2 linked regions of the Schizosaccharomyces pombe genome follow. The protein of the gene in region 2 binds, or shares a complex with, the protein of the main gene of each other region. Each region holds a gene or a part of one and is shown on either strand. Other genes may lie near its edges.

Region 1 (3,708 bases), 520 kb from region 2:
ACTGGGTTTGCTTGTTGACGATCGGGTTGACTTGGCGAAAGGTATGGTGGAGAATTTTATTTTTGAAATTACCTATTACGGTAAGATCTTGAATGCCAACCGCACTTATTATCTTCTTCGCTCCCAGCCTCCATTTTTGACCGATATGGCCCTTCGAGTTTATGAACGTATAAAAAACGAAGAAGGATCTTTAGACTTTTTGCATCGGGCCTTTTCTGCGACTATAAAAGAATATCACACTGTTTGGACTGCCACTCCACGACTGGATCCCAAAACTGGTCTTTCCCGCTATCGCCCTGGAGGACTCGGTATTCCTCCGGAAACTGAAGCTTCTCATTTTGAGCATTTGCTTCGTCCTTACATGGAGAAGTATCATATGACTCTTGAGGAGTTTACTCATGCATACAATTACCAACAAATTCATGAACCCGCGTTGGATGAGTATTTCGTGCACGACCGCGCAGTTCGCGAAAGCGGGCATGATACTACTTATCGGTTGGAAAAAGTTTGTGCTGACTTGGCCACCGTGGATCTGAACTCGTTGCTATACAAATATGAAACCGACATCTCACATGTGATTTTAGAATATTTCGATGACAAGTTTGTACTTCCAAACGGAACTATAGAAACTTCTGCCATTTGGGATCGTCGTGCTCGTGCTCGTCGTGCTGCAATGGAAAAGTATCTTTGGTCAGAAGCTGATTCGATGTGGTATGATTACAACACGAAGTTAGAAACGAAGAGTACTTATGAAAGTGCTACTGCTTTCTGGGCCTTGTGGGCCGGTGTGGCAACTCCCCGTCAAGCCGCAAAATTTGTTGATGTTAGTCTTCCCAAGTTTGAAGTTGCTGGAGGTATAGTTGCTGGTACAAAGAGAAGCTTGGGTAAAGTGGGTCTTGATAATCCCAGCCGTCAATGGGATTATCCTAATGGCTGGAGCCCTCAGCAGATTTTAGCTTGGTATGGATTGATTCGATACGGATATGAAGAGGAGACTCGTAGACTTGTATATCGTTGGCTATATACTATTACTAAATCGTTTGTTGATTTTAATGGTATTGTTGTTGAAAAATATGATTTGACCAGACCAGTTGATCCACATCGTGTTGAAGCTGAGTATGGTAATCAGGGTGTCAATATCAAAGGCGTTGCTCGCGAAGGTTTTGGATGGGTTAATGCCAGTTACGAAGTCGGCCTTACATTCTGTAATTCGCATATGCGTCGGGCTCTTGGTGCTTGTACGACTCCTGATGTTTTCTTTGCCGGCATCAAGGAAGAATCTCTTCCTGCTTTCGAAAACCTTTCCATTCATAAAAATTAAGTTATCGTTTGCTTGAAAAAAATAATCGACTTTGTCTACTTTTTTAGTTGCCTTTAGCTTTATTCTCTTATTATGTTATTTTGGTTATCGACCGGTTAAAACCCATTGTTATGTTACATGTTATACCTTCCATTAAATCCTTCTACTATGAAGGTTCTATTTGGCGAATATTCCCTTACGAAACAATAGTTAATTCTATTTAAATTTATGAGTAAAGCTTATCACCAGCGATATTATTACTTTTTTACTTAAAAGAAAGAAGTAGTAAATGAATTTTTTACCTTACGATTCAATTCTAATTTATAATTTCCATGATAGTACTGTTGTTGCAGTTTTAGTCCGAATATAACTCTAATGTTTAATTTGGTGTCTATCACTTTATTAGTTTTTTTTTTGAAGGAATTGTCTTCTAGAAACTTATTTTGAGTTAATGTACCGTATTATGTCGTTCACATTTGTAGACAACATAAGTTGGCCACTTCCTTACACAACAACAGTATATTATTAAAATGTGTTATGGTTCGATATTCATTAAGAAAGGTAAGAGATGCTTAAAGAGATAAGGATATGAGTAAATTTAGTGTTTGAAGTTCGTAATTATCGTTCGCTTTTGAATGTGAATGTTAACAAAATTAGGCGCATGAATACGCCCGAGATGGGGAAAATCAGGAAGTTTTGGGAGAAATTTCACAAGCAATTATGTATTATGGATTAGCAAAAAGTCAGTTTGAAAAGATATGTCAGAACACAGCTCAGCCTCTTATTAAAAGATGCGCAAATAACCAAATCGAAGAGTTGATGGTTCGTATACGCGAGTTACGAGAATCATTGCCAAACAAACAAACACCAATATCAATGTCAATGTCTACGAGATTATCACCTATGTATACTTCTTCATTAACTCCACGATTTACGTCCAATTCAATGGTTTTACCAGGTGATCATAATACTACTGTTCGACTAAAACCAAGCTTTCGTGAAGCTTTAATGGAAGATTCTGAGGACGATTTATATCAAATGTATTCTAAATTCGAAATGCAGGTTAAAAAGCTGTCAACCAACTATGGACTTGCAGTTGCTTTTTCCATCGTTCCCATGGATGATGATCAGCCATCACCAAGCATATTTAGCTCCGATGAGAGTTTTTTGATCGTAGAAGGTGATGATTTTTCTCTTGGTAACAGCGTTGAAGAAGATGCCAATGCAACAAGCAAAGAAGATCCTGCCTATCAGAATACGAACGAGCAGATTCAACCGCTATCGAATTTCGATATAAGTCAACAAGAATATTTAAATAATACAAGGATTCCATATGAAAACGAGGATTTACATTTACAACACATTACTCAAGGAACTACAGATGATAACAATGTATCCAAGTTTCTTATTCCTTCATACAATGATGCTAAGGAATTATCTGAAGAGGAGATGGGAAGAAGTCATAAAAGGGAAGAATCATTTAAAAGAGCATTTGGTCACGCATCAAGTAGCGAAAGTAGTATTGGAGAGATTACGGATTCTAGGGAGGATATTCAGTCAAACCGTCTTGTTAACGGCTCTTGGGAAAATAATGATTTTACTAAGGAAATAAACAATAACTTCCCTGATAGATCTGAAACGCCAACGCTCCAAACAATTGAAGCTCCGACCAAACTCATGAAATATACCAGACGCAAAAGTCTGTTTCGGTTTCCATTTTTTCGTTCAATATCTGGAAAGAAAAAAGAGGAGCCTATGGAGTCCGGAACTGATTCACTTGAATCATCTACGGCACAGATTACGGTCGATTCTCAATTGAAAATCAAACAGCTTGAAACACAAATCGCAACTTTACAAAAGCAACTGGAGCAATTTCAAACCAGTACTCTCGATCAAGATCTTCACTAAATGTCATTACTCGATTTACTTATTAATTCTTTAAAGAAACGGCAACTGATCGAAAATCAGTTTTCAAAGCAATACATTATGTTGTCTCTGCAAAATTCTGTATGTTTCGTTAAATTGTGCCTTAGTTTTCCTTTTGAAGAGAAATGCATGGGGAGGCAAAATTACGATGACATGGTCTGTGGCGAGCCATCCTTAATGGAATCAATACTTATTTTGGCTTAGATATGTTCTCTGCGCATACCATTATATTTGGGATTTTACTTTCTCTTTTTACCACCTGAAGTTCTGAAATAAATTTTTACGTGCTTCTATAACTGAATTCGACTACGAAAACTAGGATGAGGATGGATGGCTCTGATTTTGAAGATCGAAAAGTTAGTAAACCGAGCCCGGTATTACCTTTTGATGTTAGCAACATTGGTGATTTGAGTCAAGGGGTACACTCACCGTTGGGTATTTCGCATTTCGATTCCAAAAATCCAACGCCATTTGGCAGATCA
Region 2 (3,756 bases):
GCATATGTTGCTCGAGTACGAGAATTCATATCGAAAAGAAAATGCTGAAGGTCAGGAAATAAATACTCCTGAAAAAGAAATGCATTAATCGGAGCAATAGAGGTTACATTACTAACTAGGCGAGTAATCGTAATAAGCGCACTAATCCTTACATCGGCGTATTGGTCACGAAGCAAAGTCATAACAAAAGGTAAAACTGTATCAAGTTTGGACTCATCGCAGATGTTCCTTGATAAAATTTGCACCAAACTTAAAGCGTTTATCTTAGATTCTCTTGTATTCACGTGTCTAATAGTGGAAAGAACTATGGGAAGAAGAACAGCGGCACCATAAAGATGATTTTCATCCGTTTCAATAGATGAAATATCCTCAATGACTGAAGGAGAAGGTGCAGGTGTGGAACCTTGCTCTTTATCCTCAAATCCTTTTTTTTCTTGCATAGTATTATACAGTCTTAGATACCAATTCTTGGCAGCAGGGTTTTTATTATAAAATTCATCAAGTGTGGTAAAAAGGGGTACAGAATAAGAATCTATTCCATTATATTCATGAGGGGTGTGCATAAGGTTTGAAATGTCATTATTATTTGGGGGCATAATATCTCTGTAAATGTCGTCAATTCGAGAACCATACAAACTGCAAGCGTCATTAGGCTGCTTGGCAGAAAGAATTCCGCTTGGATCGACTAAACCAATACAGTAATCATACAAAGTGTCATAAAAGCATGCAGGAAAAACGGTTCCTCGATATTTCTGCAAATAGGCATCAGCCGACAATCGTTGACTGGGATCTCTGTCTAGCATACTTAGAATCATGTTCTAGAAGTATTATGTTAGTAAACTAACGTAGAATGAATTCTATATAAGATTTCTTACTTGGGTACTCTTATCCTCGATTTGCTCAAGAACAGACTGTAAATCGTAAGACCCATGGGCCTTGTAGCTAAAAAGCTGAGAAAGCGTAAAAAGAGGCGACTCCTCCAAAAGCAGTTCTGCAAACACACATCCAAGACTAAAAATATCCATTGCAGGCGATAATGGAGCAGGTTGTAATTGCGATGCAGGAACAAATCTTTCGGGAGCGATATTACAGACTCTTCGAGATGAAGTGTCAAAAAAATAGCCGTAGTCAGCAGGATTATCCTCTGGCAAATAAGTAGGTTTAAAAGAGCTAAAGTCCGATAGATAAGCCCAATTCCAAGAAGTAATTAAAATGTTTTCCGATTTAATATCACCATGACAAACACCAAGTCTATGACAATCGGAAATTCCCTTTAATAATTGAAACATTATCCACTTTTTTTCAGTCAACTCAAGAAAGGGCCTAGTAGAAATTCTATCATACAAATTGTGAGTCACGTATGGACGCACCAGGTAGGCAGCGCGAAGCGTAACCAACGTTTTTATATAGGGTACGGCATTTGGCACTCTATATGAGATATTCTCTTGCTCCTCTGTTGTTTTAGTTAGTCTTTATTCCCATAATTGATGCGATTCGCGTAAATGAGACTATAAACAAATGACCTACCCTTCAACAAATTTACAATGCTTGACAACGAAATTTCCGGAAGTTTATTTACAAATACTTTGATTAAAACATCATATCCCTTGCGATCTTGCATGCGAAACGTTCGCAAAAAATGTGAATCCCCTAGACTAAATTTCGTAACGTTAGAATTGCTGGGAGAATAAGAATTCTTTGACTTACCTTCTTTCATTGTGATATTCTGGAAGCTCTTCCTCGAACAATTCATGGAATTGGGGGGTCTGGATAGTGGAAAGCTGAATCCCCATAGGTCCTAAATGTTGCTTGCACAGGGCATCACTTAAATGTAAAAAGGCTAAGGCAATGTCGTAGATGAGATGGGCCTTTAAAAATCACAATAATGGTATAACGAACAATATTTGTAAATATCCTTATATCGTTGAAGATTAAATCTACTATAGATGAATTGTAAATAGCAATGAAAATAGTGAATACCTTTACTAGATAAGAGCAAATTTATTTTTAAATAGATATCGAGGAGAAGCTAAAAGTTCTTTGCATGCATGCAGATGACTTTCCCAATGAGATATTTCAGCTAAACAACTTTAACATGTAAAACGCACACGGGTTTCGTACATTATATGAAGATACATAATGAATTGTTTTTATTAAATATTTTAAATTGATTTAAATAAGAGTAATGGTAAAATCAGTTTCTTCATTTATTTGCGTTAAAGGTAAATGCATAGGGTTTTTGGATATGAAAAGATAGTATCATAAACACCTTCCAAAATATTCAATTTTTTCGGATTTTAAAAATAGTAATAAATTAACACGTTTTTAAATTTCCAGTAAGAATAAACTTGCAGAAAGGGGTTTTCCCCTTATGTCGAAATATTTCAAACCAGAACGCAGCGCTTCTCTAGCTAGGATTCAACAAAATCATTTTTACGAATCAAAGAGAAAAAGAAAATAAATCTGTGTACCGCCAGAAAATAGTGGGAAATTGTTTTTAAAAGTATTAAGTAAAAATTAGTGAATATGGAAAAAGTAGTAACCCAGCATAAAATCAAAACACATGAAAGGCTAAAGGTATTTAATTATTTCTGTTTCTTTCGGGACAAATAGTAAGAACCGATTGCACGAGCTAAATCTTCAGAGGTAGAGTTGCGACCAAATACTTCAATGAACTTACCCTCTGGATCCATCAAGTAGAAGAATACCGAGTGGTCAACCAGATAATCATCCTTTTTAGGGTCAATGTTCTTAGGGGTAGAAAAATAGACTCGGAATTTTTTACAAATATCTTTTATTTCTTCATAGGATCCTGTGAGACCAACGATTTTAGGATTGAAATCTTCAAGGTATTCAGCCATTTCTTGCGGAGGATCACGGGCTGGATCACAGGTTATGAAAATAGGATAAACCACGTCTCCAACAACATTGTTTACAATATCAATAGCTGCTGACATTTTGTCGAGCTCGTCGGGGCAAATGTCGGGGCATCTGGTGAAACCAAAGTAGATTAAGGAAAATTTTCCCTTGAAATCGTTATCAGTAACTCGATTTCCATGATGATCAATTAAAGAAAAAGCACCTCCTAATTGGGGACGACCTATGGTAGCCAAAACCTTGTCGTTTTGCCTCTCCAACACTTTTTTCTTTTCATGTTGGAAATAAGCATAAAGGCCAACGCTTGTTGCAGCTGCAAGAAGCAATGCTCTTATAGAAATCATTCCACGCCATGATTGGTATGTCTGCGTTCGATTGTCAGTAGCTAGATTTTTGCGACCGTCGGCAAAACGCGCTAGGCACGTACGATTCAAAGGAAATCGAGGACGAATCAAGCTGTAATGACAATGCCTAGAGAAAACTAAACCCCTTCGAAACATTACTTGATTTGAGTGATTGCCAACAATCGATTCAAAAATCGTAATATTTGGACAAGACAAAAAACTGAAGTTAAAACAGTAACAAAAGTATAACCAAGACTAGCAAGTTTTAAAAAAATTTAAAATCTTTTCTGTCTCTTCAAATACAAAACGGAGAAAACAATTTCTCACAAAGAATAAGCCTCTCCAAGTTAGTCCAATTTCACGTCAGTATGGGTATTTGGGTGGTAATGAAGACGTTGAAAATAGAATTTCACCAAAATTACTGCAAACATTTTAGCGTTCAAAAAAAACGTAATTTTATCGCTAATCCTTTAAAGAGTTCATATGCATATAGCCGCTTCTCCAATGCTGTAATTTCAATGTAATCTAAGTTTTA

What was found. Proteins that work in one complex are often made in the same cells at the same time.
Region 1: vps15 (region 2) and atg38 share a complex: the UniProt entries of both Schizosaccharomyces pombe proteins name them as parts of the autophagy-specific vps34 PI3-kinase complex.

What each region holds. Positions count from the first base shown.
Region 1 is NC_003423.3:207,965-211,672, forward strand, and holds atg38 (protein Atg38), read left to right. Parts: upstream 1-1,794; 5' UTR 1,795-1,837; coding exon 1,838-1,861; exon of another isoform or gene 1,862-1,957; coding exon 1,958-3,208; downstream 3,209-3,708. Other genes in the region: alpha,alpha-trehalase Ntp1, read left to right, coding at 1-1,321; protein mug168, read left to right, coding at 3,547-3,708. UniProt on the Schizosaccharomyces pombe protein: Functions as a part of the autophagy-specific VPS34 PI3-kinase complex I that plays a role in autophagosome assembly. This complex is essential to recruit the atg8-phosphatidylinositol conjugate and the atg12-atg5 conjugate to the pre-autophagosomal structure.
Region 2 is NC_003423.3:723,380-727,135, reverse strand, and holds the start of vps15 (serine/threonine protein kinase Vps15), read right to left. Parts: upstream 1,843-3,756; 5' UTR 1,794-1,842; coding exon 1,708-1,793; intron 1,656-1,707; coding exon 1,528-1,655; exon of another isoform or gene 1,454-1,527; coding exon 876-1,453; intron 819-875; coding exon 1-818. Other genes in the region: copper chaperone Sco1, read right to left, coding at 2,586-3,377. UniProt on the Schizosaccharomyces pombe protein: Functions as a part of the autophagy-specific VPS34 PI3-kinase complex I that plays a role in autophagosome assembly. This complex is essential to recruit the atg8-phosphatidylinositol conjugate and the atg12-atg5 conjugate to the pre-autophagosomal structure.